3 linked regions of the Yarrowia lipolytica genome follow. The protein of the gene in region 3 binds, or shares a complex with, the protein of the main gene of each other region. Links are inferred from orthologs where the notes say so. Each region holds a gene or a part of one and is shown on either strand. Other genes may lie near its edges.

Region 1 (5,426 bases), on a different chromosome or scaffold from region 3:
GGCTCGTGTGAGTCGCAGCATGTCGTGGAAGGTGTAGATGTGTTAGTTGTGTGGGGCGAGATAGATTATCGGTGGTTATGCAGCTTTCGTATTATTTTGAGTTTGGATAATTTAGGCCAGAAATGGGAGAAAATGGGCTGGGACTGCATTTAGGGTGGCAAATCGAGCAACTTCAAGGGGGCCTATATGTTGATATTTTTTGGTGGCGAGGCGTAGATATGGTGGTATCGGTGTATTTGAGGGGGGATTGAGAGCAGATCGGCACTGTTGGTCACAGAAATATTGCAGGAGATGAGCTATTGCTGTGTCTGTCAGATACAGCAATAGCTTGCTTGGTATCCACTGAGATTAGGTCTAAGATGAGAAGGAGATGGAGCAAGGATTGGTGGTCAATGTCTATGTGATATAGAATTCGAGTATTGGACTACGTACAGCGTCTTACAGGTTGTACACTGTGGTACGGCGGCCTGTACAAGTAGGCACTGTACCTACAGTGTACAGTACATACACTGGGAACGAATACTGCACTCGAAGATGAACATTGTCTACAGATTGGTTGCACTCCGGTGAGAAGAAATGTTCCAGCACATATACTTGTACTCCACCGTCGTATAAAAGTATCTGAAATTGTTTTCCGTCTTGGATCTGTGAATGAAGCGAGTCGCTTTACGGAATCAAGTCGAGTCGCTGTACAGAATCTAGTCGCTGTACAGAATCGAGTCGCTGTATAGTAGACTGTAGCTATCGTATGTATAGCACATAGTGTTCCTAAGAACTCGCTAAGGTATCCTGAACAGCTTTCTCAATCTCCGACAAACGGTAGCTTCCCAGGCGGACTCGTGCAGCGGCCCTTTGGCTCGTTTGTCCTGCTCTACATTGTCGCCCACACCATATATCTAAATGTATTGCCTGGAAGTCTTGAACTCCATCTATAAATCTATGCTACCACAAGACCACAAACAGGAACGACACTGCCATCAGGGCGACGGACAGCGTCACTGCTCGCGCGCCGTCCAGAAAGTAGACTGCTCCAAGATACGAGCATGTGATATCTCCGTCGTCTGATCGCAGCCCGTAACTGAGCTCTCTATTTCGATGCTGTTTGGGACACTGGAAGCCCAAAGAAGCGTCACAGTCCTGCACAATCTTCTGACACAGGTCCAGACACGGCAGGATCTCCTTGTACCGTCCGGGCTTGAGAACGCGATCAATGAGGGCGTTTCGTGAAGTGCCAGGAGGCCGTTCTTGTAAATAGGTTGCGTTGTTGGACCAGTCCGCACACCGAGGAATGGTCACGGCACAAAGCCACTGCTTGTATGAGTCAGCACAGTCGTCGCACGACTTGAGAATGGAGTATCTCGAGTCCAGCGACGCGTTACAGGCGACAATCTGTTGTGAGTAGGTGAAGTTTTGCCACCATTTGGAGGCGTTATCGTCGTATAATTTAGCTAGTTCCTGTGAGTCCACCATGGACGAGTTTCCTGGAACCGCGTACGCCACATCAGAGCAAAAGTCCAAATCGTAGACCAGCTGGCAATTGTCTGATGTCTTGGAGGAGAACCACACTTGGTCGTAAACGGTGCCTCCTGGCGTGTTTGAGTTGGGTTTGGTTAGCACAGCAAGGTAGGGGGTAGAGTTGTTCAGCCCCTTCATGAAAAATTGCTGCTTGTAGTAATGTCCGAGACCTCGCCGGGTGTACGAAACATCGCAGTTACCCGAGTTGAGCACAGATGGGCCCTTTTGGATGGCACAATACGAGTTGGAGAGCCACCACAGCTGCATTTCGTTCTCCATGGGGAACGCAGTAATGTCGTAGATGGCGTTTTTGATATCAACAATGTAATGGTCCGATGTGGCGTTCTGGGGATCGGTTGTCAGGTTGCCCGTCACAAATAATGCATGGTTGTAGTCGGAGTCGACCAGATAGAGGTTCGGTGTGTCCTTGAAGGAATAGAGAGGCGCTTCCCATGAAACCCCCAGCGAGTATGTGAAGTCTCCAGGCTGAGTGGCCTGTCCTGCGACCGACGTGGGAGCCGCAGGTTTGGATACTCCGTTATTAGAAACATCGCTGGGGGCAGCAGTAACCACCTCATCTCCATCGTCCGAGCCTCCTTGGGGCGCCTTGTCCTCATCCTTGTCCTCATCCTTGTCCTTCCGCTTGGTGAGCTTGTCCTTCTTGAGCTCTGCGTGTTTTACTTGACGTTTGTCGACATTGTTGACATCTGAGTCGATCTTGGTCAGTGCACTGGTGTCGAACGTCATGTTGCTGAAATCCAGCTGAATGTAGAGGTTCGTCACCTGCACCGCACTAACATCAATCGTCAAGTTGGCGAATCCAAACTCGAAGTTGTCCATGGAAAAGACAATGTTCTGCGGGTTCCATCCAGCCTTGAGTAATGCAGGGGCTGTGTAGTCGTAGTCCATGGACATGTTTTTGTAGTTGAGGTTAGGTGGACCGGCACAGATGTTGGCGGTGATGTAAATCGTCTTGGCGTTGGCAGGAATGTCCGTCAGATTGTAGATACGTGTATCGTTCAGTTTCATCACGTAGTCCACGGGCTGGTTGTTGGCGATGGGAGTGGCCACCACCGGCGTGGTGCCGGTCGGCTGGTTGTAATTGGGCACTGTTGACGCCGTGAACAGATTTGTGGACTCTGTGTGCGTCGTAGTACTCGAGGTGGTCGTCATCACCGAGCTCGGAGCCTTGGCCCGGTTCTCGACCACCCGTCTCCACAGGTCGTTGCCGAGATGCTGGAACGGCAGGAGCAGCTCGGGCGTGCCGAGCGAGTCGTCGTCGGTCACGTTGCCCAGAAACGCCCGGACCAACGTGACCGCCAACCCCAGAATTAGGATCCACAGACGCATGCTGGGTGGTGGAGAAGAGCCTGAAAGGTGCAAGGTAGCCTACGTGCACATCACGTGCCGGGCTGTACAACACTGGGGATGCTAACTACGTAACTCTACACAGGGCGGACCCAAAGCTGCCCGATAACGTGGTAAAGACGAGGTGTTTTTTACTCAAGCAGGCGCGCCACTGAGCGTGCGGACGATTCGATGCACAAGGTCGTATTCTCAACGCCAACTTGTACTGTCTTCTTCATGTCTTACCATCTCTCCTTGAAAAAAAAGAGTTTGTCCAACAACCGTTTTTAAGCCGCACGTGGTGTTCCGACTGAAAAATGAAAAATACTGGGGGAACAGAGTGTGCAGCGGTAGTTTGACGAGTAGACGACGCGATGATAGCAGGAGTTCGGGAGAGATAGCTGTTAGATGGAGCAACTAGAGTCTCCGTTACAAGTTTTTGACACCTTTCTACGCCGTTTCGGTCCCCGATATTCGCGCTTTACCGACCCAATGACGTCACAATATTTCGATAACCTTGATTGTCTCTGATAGTGGGCGAGAATGAAAAAAAAGGGTAGGCGTTTATCTCGACCAATGGGGCGGATATGGTGAGAGTTGAGACACAGATTGTGAGGGATGAGACAAATATCTGTTATTTATTGAAAGTATTCGATTCGTCATGTTTCTCCTATATTTTTCGACTATTTCCGTCGTCTCTATTCGGTTTTAAAACTTCGACCAGTGTTAAGGATACTCAACTATTTCCCAACGACACCTGCAGTACCTACTTGACGTTTACTCACTGCCGGCTTAAAAATATTATAAGAAAAAAAAACACCACATGCATGTAAAACTTCAAATTGAAACGCGTCCAGCACACACAGATCAACACTACTACACACACAGAAAATGTCCGCTAACATGGAGGGATTCGAGGAATCGCGAAAGGGCAAGGAAATTGCTGTCGACACCATCAAGCCCGGAAAGGATCATCTGCCCTGGGTCGAAAAGTACCGACCCGACACTCTGGACGATGTTACAGGCCACGAGGGAGTAGTGACCACGCTCAAAAAGTTGCTGGCCAACAAAAAGTTCCCGCATCTGCTGTTTTACGGTCCTCCCGGTACCGGAAAAACGTCCACCATTCTTGCGGTGGCGCGAGAGATCTACGGACCCAGCTACAAGAGCATGGTGCTGGAGCTCAACGCGTCCGACGACAGAGGAATCGACGTGGTGCGAGACCAGATCAAGGTGTTTGCCAGCTCGCGGCAGATTTTCCAGCGTGGTGGCGAAGAGAATGCGCGATCCAACTTCAAACTGGTCATTCTGGACGAGGCAGATGCCATGACCAACGTGGCTCAGAACGCCCTGCGACGAGTCATTGAGCAGTACACCACCCATACCCGATTTTGCATTCTCGCCAACTACACACACAAGCTGAACCCCGCGCTGCTATCGCGATGCACACGGTTCCGATTCAGCCCTTTGCCCGAGGCAGCCATCGACAAACGAATCATGCAGGTCATTGACGCGGAAAAGGTCAAGATTGCGCCCGACGCCAAGGCAGCGCTGCTGGAGCTGTCCAAGGGAGACATGAGACGGGCTCTCAACGTGCTGCAGGCGTGCCACACGGGTCTGGAGCACCCTGGAAAGGACACAATCACTCTTTCACAAGTATACTTGTGTGTTGGGTCGCCTGACCCAGCAGACATTGACACCATTCTGACTTCGATCCTGAACGACGACTGGACCACAGCTTACGACACCGTTTCCACTCTGAAACGAGAACGAGGTCTGGCACTGGTGGACATTCTGGAGAAGCTGTCCGCTGAACTGATGGCACTCAATCTGAAGGAGAAGACCAAGATTGCACTCTTGTCCAAGCTTGCCGACATTGAGTACCGGTTGGCCAACGGAGGCTCCGAGAAGATCCAGACCAGTGCTGCTATCGGTGTTATTAAGGACTCTATGGAGTTGGAGGTTTAAGAGAGTGCGGACATTGGCAGAGAAGAAGCGTCATCAGAGAAAAGGCGTCATCAGATCATAGAATAAGTGCTTCCAGTGCTGTGTGCTTCCAATGCACGTGTTTCTCTCAGATCGTTTTCAACACGTATATACAGTAATCGAAAAATTGACGAATATGAGGCAGGTTGGTATGTCTTGAGATCCATGGGAATCTGTCCAGACCTACATAGGGACTTTATCGTACACCTCTAAACGCCTATAATTGTAGATGAAGCATTGGCACTGTTACTTGTGTTACGTCTTGTGATGGTCCGTTGCGATCCTCCCTGTTGTTTTGTTGATAATTAGTTAAGAAAAGGTTTATATTTATCTCATTTTTAGCTGAACACATTTGTATTCTCTAAACCACAGTTAACACTATGCTCTAGTTTACTTAGATGTTGGTTAAGAGCAGACAGCTCACCCAGAGCAGAAAACCGCATGTTCGTAGACCAATAACGACTGGATTGCAGGGAATCACGTGACAATGTACATTATGTCTAATTTCCTGCTTTGTGACCTTCAGACTCCGTTTAACGGCCCTTTTCATGACGCGGTGATATGTTTTTGGTTCACAT
Region 2 (5,418 bases), on a different chromosome or scaffold from region 3:
CAGCACTTACTCTGTGAGCCCACGGTTATCACGCCGTAATCCACCAACCTGAACCCAGAGTGTTCGTCCAAAAGCTCGTGGGTAACACGCTCACTCGGAGTATATTTAAAATGTATTTAGTTGAAGTTGCATTAGTTGCTGGCCCGGGAGTTGCTGTCGGACCAGAATGAGTAAGATAGCAAGCACAAAGCAGTAGCTAACGTAGCTTGTACGCGTCTCAAGAACGTGTCAGGACTATATCTGCGTCTCTATAGGTTCGGTCAGGGGACACTATGTTGGGATTATCGGTGTCAGAGTTCTTTCTGCTGTCTCGAAGCTCAGATATGTCTCACTAATATTCAGCGAGAACCTGATGTGGCTAGATATGTGCGCGTGTGAGTACTGTACTTCTACTACTGTATGTACAATACTCTAGGCGCTTGAGTCCATGAATTGTGAAAGTATAGTGTACAAGGCATGTATAGACCGCTACCTCTTGCACACTTTTCGGTTTTATAATGCATTTTATAGATACGGATTACTGTCTACGGGTTGAGACAGGTCTTCTGGAGACTTTTTTTAATATCGGCCGCCTTGTGTGGACTTGATTTCAGCTCTCACTTGACCTGAATACCACACAATCTGGCGACGCAGCCTGCTAACTGCAGATATGTGGTGATTCCTTCGAGGATTCTCATGTGAGTGAAGCCAATCTCCTTAATGTACTCCAGCCGTAGCGCCTCGGGCACCTCCAGTGTCTTGGTGACTCGGAACATTGTGGAGATGATATCCTGGGCGCTGTATCCCTTGGTCCACAGCTGCTTGAGCGACTCGCATGCCTCGGTCACCTCACCCTTGCTGCAGGCATCCAACATGGATTTGACGACCACGGGATGGGGGGAGTCCACCACCTTCCAAACGTTGGAAGAGTTGACGAATCCGAATCCAGACACAGTTCCCTGCAAGTTATTGATCGCCTGACGCATATCTCCCTCCGCCGAGAAAATGAGAGCAGACAGGCCGTCGTCTGAGCACTGCACGTTTTCAGCCTCGACAATGTGCAGCAGTCGCTCGAGCACCTGTTCATTAGAGAGTCGGCCAAATCGAAGAATGGCGCATCGCGACTGAATGGCCTCAATGATTTTGTTGCTCTGGTTGCAGGCAAAGGCGAATCGAGTAGTATCAGAGTACAACTCCATGGTTCGTTTGAGCGCATTTTGGGCACCAGCAGTCATACTGTCGGCCTCATCCAGAATGATGATCTTGTGTTTACCAGGAGGCATGGTCACTTTCTTCTGGGCAAAGTTCTTGATCTTACCTCGAACCACCTCGATACCTCGATCATCTGAAGCATTGAGCTCCAGAACAGCGTCTTTGTACAGCTGGGGACCGAGAAGAGTACGCGCAAGACAATGCACGGAGGTGGTCTTTCCAATACCGGGGAGACCGGAAATCAACAAGTTGGGAATGTTTCCGTCCTTGGCCATGATCTTAAGTCGTTCAACGGTTTCTGTATGACCCACAACGTCGTCGAGATACATGGGTCTGTACTTTTCAACCCAGGGCAGCTCGAACTCGGGCTCTCCCTTTCGCTTTTTCGATGGTCCGGCTTCACTCATGTTGTGTAATATTAGTGTGTGCTGTGATGTGTCGTGTTGGACGTGATTTTTTAGCACTTGATTACTGTAATTTCGGCAGACGTGTATTAATTGAGTTCGCGATGCACGAGGGTTTGTAGGGTAGTTGGAGTGCTGGATACAATCAGGTTTCGCTAATAAATTGTCGCTGGAAGATAATAGGAAATGATTAATTTGACAGCGGAAAATATACTGCTCTTTTCAAATTTGGTTCTAGTAAAAAAAAGTGGCACTGTTTGGCCGACACTTGTGGTGCTTGTTCTGTTAGTCTAGTTCAGTTGTTTGTTGAGTGAAGTCAACTAATTGAATATACCGCTGCAGCTTCCTCGATGGTCATACAGTAGTAATTATTACACTCCACTCTGCGCAATGATGACACACAGAAACACCAACCACTATCCACAATCACATCATTCTATCATCTCTCAATTATTCATACAAATACATTTCATTAACTGCTTCTATACATATGAGCCCTGGCTCCAGTTGATGTGTATTGTGGGACCAGAGGTGCGGACAACTGTTCGATCTGCGCCATCTGGTGACATGATTAGATGTAAAACCTCCGAACAGACCATTCGCCCCGCTCGTGTTCCGGGCAATTATCACTCGCTTCGTTTATGATTAAATCACCTCGACAACCTCATCATCAGAGTCAACCTCCTTCACCTTGGCATCATCTCCAGCCTCCTTGGGCTCGTCCCGCATGAGCATCTGCACAACTCGGTCGCATCGCTCCTGGATGGTCTGGTCGTCGTGGTTCTTATGCAGCTCTCGAACAATAGGGTAGACGGATTTGGTTCGCATGTACTCTCGCATCTCCCGCGAAGTGGTCAGCAGCAGCAGAGACTCCAGATGAGTGCACATGATGTCGAGATCCTCCTCTCGTCGCTTGTCGGGCGTCAGCAGCTGCAGCTCTTCGGGCAGATCAAAGATCTCTTCGGGGTCCTCTAGGTCCTCAGGGCCCGCCAGGGGCAGCATGATGAAGGGCAGCAGGTTGATTTCGGGGTCAAGCACAAACTTGGAGTGCTTGTCGGTGTCAAACAGCGAGTTTTTGATTGTAGAAGCAACACCTTCTCGTCGGATTCGCGAGTCCACAAACTCGGTGAAGGGCAGCAGCTTCTGGATGGGGAACAGACCATCGTAGGGCTGCTCAGTGACAAAGTAGTCTCGACCTCGTCGGAATCGCGACAGATCGGCAAAGAAAAAGGCCAGGTAGTCGAAGTTGGAGAAGAGGTTGAGCTTGCCGGTAGCGCCCTTGACAAAGCAGTCCATGAGCGAATCGATGAGCTTTTCCGACTTGAACACCTCCGTGTTCTTGAGCTTCTTGGTGGCGTCGAAGATGGACACAATGTGGTCGTCCTTGGCCAGGTTGGCTAGCAGCATACAGCACAGATCGGCCTGCTTGTTCTCGAGATCGCAAATCTCGCAGGCAATCATGGCTACGAACATGGAGTTGGACGCCAGCATGTCGAGAATGTCTCTGTCATCGCATAGGTTGATGAGAATGGTCAGAGCGTTCTCCACATTGACTCTGGGGGTGCCCAGCATGACGGTGGCCACCAGATCCTTGACTCCCTGGTAGTCGTTGGCCTTGAACTGCTCGGCATGGCCCTGTGAGTAGCCCACGAGGGACTGTAGAGCAACCTGCTTGACGGCAGGGTGGTCGGAGTGCAGAAATTCGATTAGTTCTTGGAATTCGGAAGACATTGTGTGTGTTGTAGTTGTCTGGAAAACTTGGATTTATCGCAGTCTAATTTTGAAAATATATTTTTTGGGTTCATGGCACGTGACCCGGAAGGAGAAGGTAGTGTCAATAAATACGTTAATATGAATCCTATTGAGTGGGTGAAAACTTGAATCAAGTCTAAGGAGTCGCATGGACGTTTTGAAGTTGCCAATTACCAGATTTGAACTACGGAAGGCTTCGATACCAACACCCAAATATCTCCCCTCGCTAACTGATCAGAGTTTTGATGCCTGACCTGCATGGGTGGCAATGGTGGAAATAGATGGAATTTCTTGGAATTTTGTATTATCGCCTACGGATTGAAAAATGAGACAGCAGGAAGTGTTGCAGACTGGTAACGAACTCATCCCATGACTAGTATTGTCTCTATATGTGTTTGTCGTCTGACAAAAGTTTTTTTTTTTTTTTCTGCATATACATTCATTTAATTATAACTTTGCTGTGAAAGAATAACAAAAGAAGGCAGTTTGAGAGTCATTTGTTAAGTAATTACTTGAGACATTTACCGAAGTATAATTGGCGATTTAATTGAACATGGAAGTTGATATAGTCTCAGAGAAGCTGTATGTACTGGGGATAGGAGCAGGGGTGGGGGCGGTGGCACCTTTTATACCTGTATATCACACCCCCTAAATTCACTGCAACACCTATATCTAAACTCCGGGGAACATGGATCTACGTACATATCGTTTTCGTTGAGCGGGGGTGTCAGACGCATGTAGGCTGATAAGGGCGTGGAAAGTTTCCTGAATGAGAGCACCCCTCCGAGAAGAAGAGAGCAATTGTAGGCAATTATCGACCGAAAACCCACATAGGATGAAAAGCAGCCGTTGCGTAACGGGGTATTTAAACGTTCCTTATCTGTTTCAACTCTTCATATGAGTTCCAAGCCGCTCCACCCTCTAGTCTTCCCCCACCTTGCGCGTCGCATATTAAACTCCCGCTGCGGCTCGAGTGCGGAGATACCGTATGATAACAAAAGCCAATATATAATGCCTTGGAGTGGCATCGACGGTGTTGGCCAACTATCGTCGACAAAACCTGATTGCAACCTTCACCATGGTTCTCACATTCGAAATTGCTAGAGAGAAGTTCCTCAAGATCAGAGACGATTCCATTGCAGAGCTGGACAAAGTGTTTCCTCCACCCGAGGACTCGAGACATCATGAAGTTCCCGCAAAGTTGCCCAAGAACTCCATCCCCGTGTTCCAGGAGATGCTGGCCCATGACGATGCAGCTATCATCAATTCGGACCCAATCGAGCTGCTCGATCAGCTTGCTAAGGCCAAGGTATCGGCTGTGGCTGTCGCAGGAGCGTTCCTAAGAGCTGCTGTTATTGCCCAGACTCTCACAAACTGCCTGACGGAGCTGCTTCCTCGAGAGGCACTGGAAACTGCTCAGAAACTTGATGACTATCTAAAATCCACAGGAAAGCCCGTGGGTCCTCTACATGGACTTCCCGTGTCCGTCAAGGAGATGGTGGGCTTCAAAGGCCGAACCTGCCACTTTTCCGTGTCTTCCAAGATCAACAACATCACTCCGGACAATGCTATCATCCTTAAAGTACTCTACAAAGCCGGAGCTAACCCTTACTGTCGAATACCGGTCCCCAATTTCTCATGTCGCTGGAATCAGAGTCGCCTCTCCATGGAAAGACTTACAACCCCTATAACCGAGATCTCACGTCTGGAGGCTCATCCTCGGGTGAAGGAGCCATCGTCGGTCTTGGAGCGTCTGTTTTGGGTCTCGGAACTGACATTGGAGGCTCAATTCGAGGTCCAGCTGCTTGCTGTGGTGTCTATGGTCTTCGTCCGTCTGTAGGAAGAATTACAAACACGGGCTGTGATTATGTTATGCATGGAGCAGACTCGATCAAGGCATGTATTGGGCCCTTGACTTCATCTCCGAAGCTGCTGGAGTTATTCATGAAGGTCATGTCGGACGCAGAAGTCTGGAGATACGACCCCTTCACTGAACGGTCTATGTGGAATCCAGCTCTATTTCAAAAGAAGAAGCTAAGAGTGGGCTACTACGCTGACGACGGCTACGTTA
Region 3 (9,373 bases):
CGCATCGGGCTCTATATCCCAATATAGGGGCGGCTGTAGAGATCGACAGTTCCCAGGGGCGAACTGGACAAGAACGTACATGGCAGCAGTACGTGCACGCACCTCTAGTCGATCTAAACATGTTGGGGGTATTCTGAGAGACAAGAGGACTCGAACAATGGCGTGTATCACTCATCATGCCATTGTGAGTAGACATACAGTACGTACGAAGAAGTCGCATGTAGCATCTTATTACTGTCAGTGAGTGTACACAAGGTTTTTTTTTTTTTTTGTGCCGAGCTACTGTTTGCAGTATTGTAGTATTGTAGCAGATTACCACAAATGGAAGCATTTCAATACATGGAAAAGATAATCATAGTCACAATCAGCATGAAATAACTACTTGTAGATTTAGTAATTACATAATGCCATACTTTCTCAATTGCAGTAGCTACTTGTAGCACAATATTGCTCCTTAATATGTCTGTACTCCTTCCGCCATCTGAGTAAAGCAGTAAGGGACCAGGTGGTTGGCACACGGTACAGTAGGACAGCATGGTTGGAGAGCAAGTGTAGGAATATCACTACAATTGTATGAGTTAAACAGCCAAATGGTCCCGTCTGTGAAATGGAGATCTGAGGGATATGTCAGGGGTCGCCTCCCACTTCGACATGAAGATGCATAGGCTACTCGGACCATGACGTTCGAATATACTGTAGGATGATGATGGACAAATAGTAGATACCACTTATACGGCTGGAAACTGCGACAAAATAAACACACCACTCAGTCTTTTGGACTCTTGGTATGCTTGCCGGAGCTACAGTAGCTGCGGCACTTGCACTTGCTGTGGTACCAGTAGTTGTACTAAGACTATACCATTGATCTACTGTACATACCATACTGTAGATGTGGTTGTGTAGGTGCTGTGGGAGTGATTTGCACGTCTGTGAGTTGTTTACACACGATATTGCAATTCTAAAAGTACGTCGACATATCCATCACGTCGTCCATATCAATCTTTAGTCTATATACAAGTGAGCCCCTGATCCACGAACACTCGTCTCACACCCACAATGCCAGAGTAGCCGCTTATATTTCGCCCCACTAAAAGCACGCTATCGTCGCTCCCAAATATCCTCGGAAGAACCGCCGGTCATCTTCTCAGCCAGCTGCTTCATGTAGAACTGCTTTATTTTGGCCTTCTTGATCTCCTCGGGATCCAGCTTGACGCCCATGCAAAACTTCCACTTGTCCTTGGGCTTATCGCAGTAATTTAGAGAGCCGAACCGGTACAAGTTTCGCACCTGGCCGCCCACAGAGTAACATGCCACCACCTCGTTGAACGCCTCCCAACACGACATTTCCTCGGGGAAATAGACACGCATGTTCCTGGGTCCCTCCGGCAAAGTCGGCACCTCTAACGGATCTTTTTCGGTCTTTTTAGAGCTCTGCTCCTCAGAAGACACCTTCTTGGGCTTTGGCTTATAGACACCCAGCAGCTCCGAGGCTTTGACTCCAAACATGGCCTCGTAGTCATCGTCGTCTGATTTGGCCTTTGCCTGAGCAGCAGCTGCTTCGGCAGGCGCGGAAGTCGACACCTGCTCCTGAACGGCAGCCGTGGCAGGCTCCTCCTTGGGATTCCTGTTCCAGAACATTCCCATAGTGTGTGATGTGTGTGGTGTCGGAATTACTCGTGAAATGAAATTGAATTTCCGTGTAAGATGATTGAACTCTATACTGTACAGTACATTTTGAAATACTGTAGGGCTGCTTGCAAGTTTGGTCTGGGTGTTTGAAATGATAAGAATGACGTGGAATGCGACTATTTCTAATAGGATGAGGCACAGGCTGACTTACAGTAGTTGGCTCAACGCAGTACTTGTACAAGCAAACCCACAACATCAAAGAGATAGACATCCTCTCCAGCTCCCAACCCTAACCTGGCTTTGAAACTGGTACAATACCTGTTGTAACGGTTTTGAAGAGAGAAGAATTAATGTCTAGCTATGTTTATGGGATCTGAATCGTTAACCAGCGGTGGCTTCACTAATATCATCCTGTTTTCTTACGTGACATATTCACCCTCGACAATTCCAAACAGCACCAACTTAATTAACAGCATGCATATGGGTAAGCTCACCACCACAGGCATGTTGACCCAGTGATTCACCATGGAGAAAACCGTCAAGGCTGCGGAAAACCTGATCGACGCCCAGACAGACTACACAGTCACGTGGCTAGACTCGCTGGAGGTGGTGAATCGCAAACAGACACACAAGTACAAGCAACTTGCCGAGTCGACCAAGGGCCTCGAAAACGATAGAGAGTACCTCGAAGGTCTGAACAACGAGAACGCAAGGTACGTGGACCAGCTCAAACAGGTCCGTGGCCACCTCGATACTCTGGAGAAGCTAGTTGGAGAGGTGGACGAGTGGTCCAAGGAGCTGGAGGTTAAAGTGAGGCGAATGCAACAAGAGAGGAGTTAATCGCTACGACACCAAGACGCGATTACGGACCTTTTGACATGTCTTTTGACACGCCATCTTTCATATTGCCAGAATCTGTCTCTGATTTTGAGTACTGCAGCGAATATCAGACAGCATACCCCCTACAAGTTATGACACCACAACACGATTAATGATTAACGAATAACGACAATAGAATACGCTCAAAAATTTCATTAGGATGTATTTCATATAAATCAATTGCGTCTAAATACATACACAGTAGTAACAGGACAGGCTATTTTTTCTTAGCAGCAGCCTTCTTGGGGGCAGCTTTCTTGGCAGGTGTCTTCTTGGGAGCAGCCTTCTTAGGAGCAGCCTTCTTTTTGGGCTGATTGATGTACTTGTCCTTCGAAATGTCTTCTTCATCCTCTTCCTCTTCCTTCTCCACCTCCTCATTAACCACGTCTCCCGAATCAGGTTGGGCCTTAGACGCCTTCATGTCCATGGCAGTTCCAGACTTTATGTAGGGCACGGGATGCGACGAAGTGTTATATTTTCGAGTGAAGGCAGATTTGGTCTGAGTCTCGAGCTTCTTCATACGCTCTTCTCCACTGTCAGGACCAACACCCATCTCCATGATAGCATCCCAATCCTCTCGGGTGAGATAATACGAGTCCATGAAATCGATCACCTCAGGAACTCCCTCTGCCTTCTTAGCCAAAAGTGGGTCAAGAAGCTTTCGAGTCATCAAAGGCAAGTACTGCTGTCTCAGCTCTCGAGAGTTGCCCGAAGTCTTGTATCCAGCATGACTCTGAAGCTCCTGGAGAGCTCGAAGATGCTTTCCTCCCTTGGAGTTCTGACCCAGCCAGGACGTGAAGTTGAATCGTCCTCGGGCCTGGCCGGCAACGAAAGAAGCAGGCCTAACCGCACTCAGGAACCCATGCAAAGGCATCAGAGACCAGTGCTGCTGGGAGCCATGAATCATCTTATCAACAAGATCACCATCAGATATGGACTCAGCAGCAGCCAACGTCTTCCTCAAACGCTCCTTGTTGTCGCCTCCTCCACTAGGCTGCACGTTGAGATAGTTTTCCTGGATCATGAGAGGAACAAAGTCGTGATCGTTGAAATAAAGCTCAATCTTGTCATTGAGAGTGGCCTTGGAGGAAGGAGCCCATAGGCCTCCGGAAAGCAGCTTTCCAGTGATATCAAAGGGACTCAGAACCACATTCTTCTCCCATGACTGGGTCATCTTCTTACCAGACTCAATATCAAGACCACCCTCATTCTGGTTTCGAGCATAAGTCGACAGCAAGTTGATGATCTGACGAATATCTGAGTTGCAGCCAGCAATGACCTGCTCCAAAACAGGAGCTGAAATTTTGATCTTCTCCTGATGACAGATGGTCATCATTCGTGCTAGGATAGCCTTGGGGTCCATTCGTCGGAAAGGAATGTCCAGAGTCACTCTGTCAAATGGACGCATCTTAGGAAGACCCTTGTCGTTACAGATGAGGATGATTGGCACCTCAGTAGTTCGACACAGGGCAGCCATCTGGCCCACACCTCCTCGATCACCAGCAGACATACCATCGACCTCGTCCATGATCATACAGATCTTCTTCTCTTTGGAAGACTTCGCTGAGCTCATGAAACCCATGATGGAGGTGTTTGTGAGAGCTGAAGAAACGTCCTGAGCAAGCAACTTTTTAGATCGCACATCCGAGGCGTTGTTCTCAATCACATCATAGCCTGCAAGGTTGGCCACCAGATGCGCAGCAGTAGTCTTACCGATTCCAGGGGGACCAGACAGCAGAACAGCACGATAAATGCCAAATCCATCTTTTCCAGGCTGCTTGAATCCATGTTTGGCATTGTCGTGCCAGTTGTTGAGCCAGTTTTGTAGCTTGGTCACCGCTCCCTTGTTTCCGCAAACGTGATTCAGGTTGTTGGGGGCGTATTTGACTGTCCACAGCTGGTCATCCATAGACACAGCCCGAGGGGCTCCAGAAGCGTCCGCCTTCTTGGATGCAGCTTTCTCCTTCTTTTCTCGCGCCGCCATCTCAGCAGCCATCTTTGCGCTCTCAGCAGCAATCTTGTCGGCCTCTTCTGCCTGCTTAGCTAGCGCCTTTTCAGCAGCAGCACCCCCTCCACCGTCAGCAGGCATGAGTCTGAGCAGTTCCAAGAAACCAGCTTCATCCAGAGCCTTGGTTCTGAGCTTCTTGATCTGCTCAATCTTCTTGGGTCCGGCATCTTCTCCCAGAACAACACAGTTGGTCTTACCAGAAATGGAAGAAGTGACCTTACCTCCGTACTTTTTGACTGCGGCCTGACCCTCTTCTCGCGACAAGTTGGGCATGGTGCCAGTGAAAACGAACGTGAGGCCCACCAGACAGTTTTCGGCCGCCTCAGGAAGCTCCACTGCTCCTCCTCCTTCTCCACTTCCAGTGGCCGTGTTCTTGGCCAGATGCTCTCGGAAGTTGAACTTCTTCCCCTCCTCGACCTCGGGAAGCTCGGCGTCGGGTAATTGCGCTAGTACAGACTCTGCTGTAGCCCCTCCAGGTGCGGATCGAGCATTGGGGGCGGCCGTTGGAGCAGCCTTGGGCTTGGGGGCAGCCTTTTTAGGAGCACGCTTGATTTGCTCGAGATCGTCGTCATCGAGATCGTCATAGTCAATGATTGGGCCCTTATTTGATACGCTTGCCTTGGGAGGTGGCTTCTTGACCACATTGTCGTCCTCATCAATCTCAATCACATCGTCATCCTTGACTGGCCCCGATCGTCGTGTTCGTCGCTGCACAGGTTTCACGGGCAAATCATCGTCGTCCACAAACCCGTCGTCGCTGTCCATATCTATCTCATAAGGGGCCTCTCCATCTTCGCTGTCAGAATCGTCAATCTGGATTGTCCGCTTTTTGGGAGCAGGTTTGGCAGGAGACTTGGTCTTAGCAGTGGGATTGGGCTTTGCGGGAATCTTTGGCTTGACGGGCGACTTCTCGGGCTCGGAATTAATCTCCTGTTTGACCTCCTGTTTGACCTTTTTGGGCTTTCTCTCTTCGTCCACAGACGTGGTGGCTGGCCGTTTCTATGTTAGTGGTTTTTGCGTGAATCAAAACAGATGGGCAGTGCAATTGGTACTCACGTCATTGGACTTGGCCGGCGCCTTGGTCTTTTGGGCTCCAAAGAAACTGCGGATATCTTTGGGAGGCATTTTTTTTGCACTGCGTTCCAGTGGTGATAAATGGAAAGCTTCGTGTTGACGCGTTTTGCAGTGCTGCGGTTGGGAGAGGCGAAAGAAGAGGCAGGGGAGTAATTACAACAGAGAGGTTACTGTATATTGTGACTACAATAAGTGATGAAAAATAATCACAGGTAAGAGGTTGTTGAAGCAGTTTATCTATGCAATTTAATGATCGTGAAATGAGTTGTTCTTGTATTGTGGGCAATTATTGTACCCACATGCTGGCTTGCTGCGTGTGATGGCAGGTGGACTTCGTAAGGTGAACAATGTAATAACAGATTAAAGAACAGATTTGGATTATATGACTATTAGTGATCAATTGTAATGGCTTGATGGTCATAAAATCTGTTCACATTGACACTTCAGCCAAGATTCATCAAGTTATAACCCTCTACAGTATGTACTCGTACTTCTACTGCAACACTCACTCCCTCACCCTCCTCCTAACGTCAATCACATGACTGTGCGTCATTAATGCATCCAGAGTTTATTGGAAAAATATGTCCATGCAGAAATAAATTATCCACCCTATTTCAAACCAGCACGCAAATAACACACACAAAAATGGTCAAGGGAAAAGTGACCAAACCGGTCAAGAAGGCTACTAAGTCCAAACAATCGGCTGCCATGATTTCCAAAGTAAAGGACGACTTTGTCATGACTCTAGATTCCGACGGTGAAGATCTGGAGGAGGAGAGTGCAGACGAGAAGGAAGAGGTGGAGGAGAAGCCTGTCAAGCTGACAAAGAAGCAGAAGAAGCAAAAACTCAGTGAAGCCGACGAGGAGCTACTGGAGCGAGAAAAGCAGGCTGCCAAGGCCGGCATCAACCCCGACTTCCAGTTTTCGCTGGACGGATTTGCTGCCACCTCTGAAGGTCTGGACGGCTGGAACTTTGAGGTGTCCAAGGACGACAACAAGGTCCAGAAGCGAGAAGTTGATTTGGACAGCATTATCAAGAGAAAAGGAGGCCTTCTGGACGAGGACGAGGACGAGGACGAGGCCGAGACAGACGTTAAGATGGAGGAGAACGAAGATGATCTGGCCATTGATGGTTTCGGAGGAGGAGTCCAGCCCGGAAAGGACATGGATGAGCCTGAGGACGAGGACGAGGAGAACAAAGAAGAGGTTGAGAATGAAGAGGAGGAGGACTCTGATGGAAGCGACTCCGAGGCTGAGGAGTGTATGCACCCCGATGATTTGGTTTTGGATGACCATAAAGGCCCTGCCATCGACGAGGGACCCCAGGACACTGCCGAGGAGATGGCTGCATTCTACGCTCCCGAGGAGGAGAACAACGATAAGACTGAGTCTGTGCACAAAACCTTTCAGACTCTGAATCTGTCTAGACCCGTCATGAAGGGTATTTCTGCTCTGGGATACCAGGCCCCCACTCCGATTCAGAGCAGAACCATCCCCATTGCTCTCATGGGCAAGGATCTGGTTGCTGGTGCCGTCACTGGTTCTGGTAAGACTGCTGCGTACATCATTCCTGTTTTGGAGCGTCTTCTCTACAAGTCCTCCAAGGTCGCAGCCACTAAGGTTGTGGTTCTGACTCCCACTCGAGAGCTGTCCATTCAGGTCGCCGATGTTGGTAAGAAGCTCGCACAGTATGTTTCTGGCGTGCGATTCGGTCTGGCTGTCGGTGGTCTGAACCTTCGAGTTCAGGAGCAGGAGCTCAAGACGCGACCCGAGGTTGTCATTGCTACCCCCGGTCGATTTATTGATCATGTTCGAAACTCTCCCTCGTTCAACGTTGACGATGTCGAGATTCTGGTGATTGATGAGGCTGATCGAATGCTGGAGGAGGGTTTCCAACAGGAACTGACCGAGATTCTGACACTGCTTCCCAAGAAGCGTCAGACTCTGCTTTTCTCTGCCACTATGAATTCGTCCATTTCGTCGCTTATTCAGCTGTCTCTTTCTCGGCCCGTTCGAGTCATGATCAACCCTCCCAAGCAGGCCGCTTCTGGTCTGGTGCAAGAGTTTGTTCGAATCCGTAAGCGAGACCATCTCAAGCCCGCTCTGCTGGCCTCCATCCTCAAGAAGATGGACAAGGAGCAGCGAACCATTATTTTCGTGGCCCGAAAAGAGACTGCGCATCGTCTTCGAATCATGCTGGGTCTGCTCGGAGTCCGAATTGGAGAACTGCACGGAGCTCTGTCTCAGGAGCAGCGTCTGCAGTCCATCACAGCATTCAAAAAACTGGAGGTGCCCATTCTGGTCTGTACCGATCTGGCTTCCCGAGGTCTGGATATCCCCAAGATCGAGTGTGTCGTCAACTACGACATGCCCCAGACCCATGCTGTCTACCTGCATCGAGTTGGACGAACTGCTCGAGCAGGACGAGAAGGTCGATCCATCACTCTGGTCGGGGAGGCTGCTGCTGACAGAGCCATTGTCCGCGAGGCTATCAAGTCTGTATCTGAGAGTAAACAGGGCAAGGCCGTGGGCCGAAACGTGGACTGGCCTGAGGTCGAGAAGCTATACTCCAAGATCGAGGAGAAGGGTGACATTGTCAACGAGATTCTGGCTGAGGAGAAGGAGGAGAAGGCCATGCTGCAGGCCGAGATGGAGGTGCGAAAGGGAGAGAACCTTCTCAAGTACGAGAAGGAGATTGCATCCCGACCTCGGCGAACTTGGTTCCAGAATGCCCAAGAGAAGAAGGCTGATGAGACCTCGGACAAACGAAATCTACTAGCCAGCAACAAGGACAAGATGAAGAAGAAGAAAGACAACGAGGAGGTCCGAATGTACAAGAAGACCAAGACCGATCGAAAGGAGGCCTCTAAGCGAGGTAAGCCCAAGGGAAAGGGTAAGCGAAAGTGAAGAAAAGGATGGTATATAGTTGAATTTATTGTATAGATATGCAGTCCGCAGTAATGTGTATTGTCTCGATGTTTGAAGAACCCCAAAACAATGGGAGTCTGTGCTTTTTGTTTCCTGTCCTATACAACCATACTGTTGACGTTTACAGCAGACAAATTGAGCCCTTTGCGGGTATTAATACTGTAGATGGACTGGAGTCTCAGCTCCGATTTCCAGCAATATGAAAAATCAAAAGGTAGGCATGGGCCTACAATATGTAGTATTACTCTTAGAGAATTTGGGATGGTAGAAGCTGGACAGCCATCTCCAGCAGGTATTGACCTGAAGTATAACTTAAGCCGACAGTCTACTGTACATACTCTGGATGACCTTTCAAAATAATGTCATTCAACGCACCACCATAGGCTTATACAAGACGAGAACGCAAATAAACACAGAAGACATGAGGTTTAACCCTGACGTCATTACATAGGATCGAATTAAACATAGTAGAAGGCGTCAGAAGCCTCAGCCCACATCGGAAGGGCTCCCACTCGGGAACACTCGACGTTATCCTCGGGGCCAATGCCCATGACTTGTGCCCGAAGAGACATTTCGGTGAAAAGAGTCACGTATTGTTTGGTTTTTTCGGTGGACATGGGCTTACCAATGAGACAGTTGATACCATCGACCCACTCGGCGGCCTGGTCCTCAGTGTCCACGTAGAATACAAGCATGGGGGTGGGGCTCTGGCCATAGATTGACACCTTATGGTGCTTGGTTCGAGTCTGCAGTCCAATAACGTCATGGGAAACCGACTGGGTTCGCACGTGGGTCATTTCGACTCGGGTAACACTGGCAAGCTCGATAGTGTTGGGAGCCTCCTCCCAGGTGGGG

Evidence for each region. The genes of interacting proteins can lie anywhere in the genome.
Region 1: the proteins of YALI1_B22020g (region 3) and YALI1_A02461g are in contact, whole or in part, in a crystal structure (PDB 1SXJ), measured with the Saccharomyces cerevisiae proteins. The link is inferred for Yarrowia lipolytica from reciprocal best matches to the Saccharomyces cerevisiae genes RFC1 and RFC3. Residues at the interface, in NP_014860.1 of Saccharomyces cerevisiae: Glu635, Gln636, Trp638, Ser639; in NP_014109.1 of Saccharomyces cerevisiae: Asp120, Met122, Thr123, Asn124, Ala125, Gln127, His151, Lys152, Leu153, Pro155.
Region 2: the proteins of YALI1_B22020g (region 3) and YALI1_F10688g are in contact, whole or in part, in a crystal structure (PDB 1SXJ), measured with the Saccharomyces cerevisiae proteins. The link is inferred for Yarrowia lipolytica from reciprocal best matches to the Saccharomyces cerevisiae genes RFC1 and RFC4. Residues at the interface, in NP_014860.1 of Saccharomyces cerevisiae: Asp295, Lys296, Leu297, Val300, Pro355, Gly356, Thr360, His364, Glu376, Asn378, Ala379, Ser380, Asp381, Val382, Asp424, Glu425, Asp427, Gly428, Ser430, Gly432, Asp433, Asn456, Asp513, Arg515, Gln516, Asn519, Thr526, Thr527, Thr528, Lys529; in NP_014547.1 of Saccharomyces cerevisiae: Glu28, Thr29, Arg32, Gln35, Ile36, Asp39, Asn41, Met42, Pro43, His44, Met50, Ile86, Arg90, Lys94, Pro105, Gly106, His108, Gly122, Gln125, Ala126, Arg128, Arg129, Thr130, Glu132, Ser135, Asn136, Arg139, Asn145, Ser147, Asn148.

Annotation. Positions count from the first base shown.
Region 1 is NC_090770.1:244,499-249,924, reverse strand, and holds YALI1_A02461g (uncharacterized protein), read left to right. Parts: upstream 1-3,753; coding exon 3,754-4,830; downstream 4,831-5,426. Other genes in the region: YALI1_A02499g (uncharacterized protein), read right to left, coding at 1-21; YALI1_A02470g (uncharacterized protein), read right to left, coding at 943-2,865. UniProt on the Saccharomyces cerevisiae protein: Component of ATP-dependent clamp loader (RFC and RFC-like) complexes for DNA clamps, such as the POL30/PCNA homotrimer and the checkpoint clamp DDC1:MEC3:RAD17 complex.
Region 2 is NC_090775.1:1,065,059-1,070,476, reverse strand, and holds YALI1_F10688g (uncharacterized protein), read right to left. Parts: upstream 1,599-5,418; coding exon 597-1,598; downstream 1-596. Other genes in the region: YALI1_F10671g (uncharacterized protein), read right to left, coding at 2,241-3,326; YALI1_F10660g (uncharacterized protein), read left to right, coding at 4,426-5,187; YALI1_F10652g (uncharacterized protein), read left to right, coding at 5,220-5,418. UniProt on the Saccharomyces cerevisiae protein: Component of ATP-dependent clamp loader (RFC and RFC-like) complexes for DNA clamps, such as the POL30/PCNA homotrimer and the checkpoint clamp DDC1:MEC3:RAD17 complex.
Region 3 is NC_090771.1:2,198,366-2,207,738, reverse strand, and holds YALI1_B22020g (uncharacterized protein), read right to left. Parts: upstream 5,642-9,373; coding exon 5,573-5,641; intron 5,516-5,572; coding exon 2,726-5,515; downstream 1-2,725. Other genes in the region: YALI1_B22060g (uncharacterized protein), read right to left, coding at 1,099-1,644; YALI1_B22055g (uncharacterized protein), read left to right, coding at 2,155-2,469; YALI1_B22015g (uncharacterized protein), read left to right, coding at 6,146-8,497; YALI1_B21966g (uncharacterized protein), read right to left, coding at 8,977-9,373. UniProt on the Saccharomyces cerevisiae protein: Component of the ATP-dependent clamp loader RFC complex for the POL30/PCNA homotrimer DNA clamp.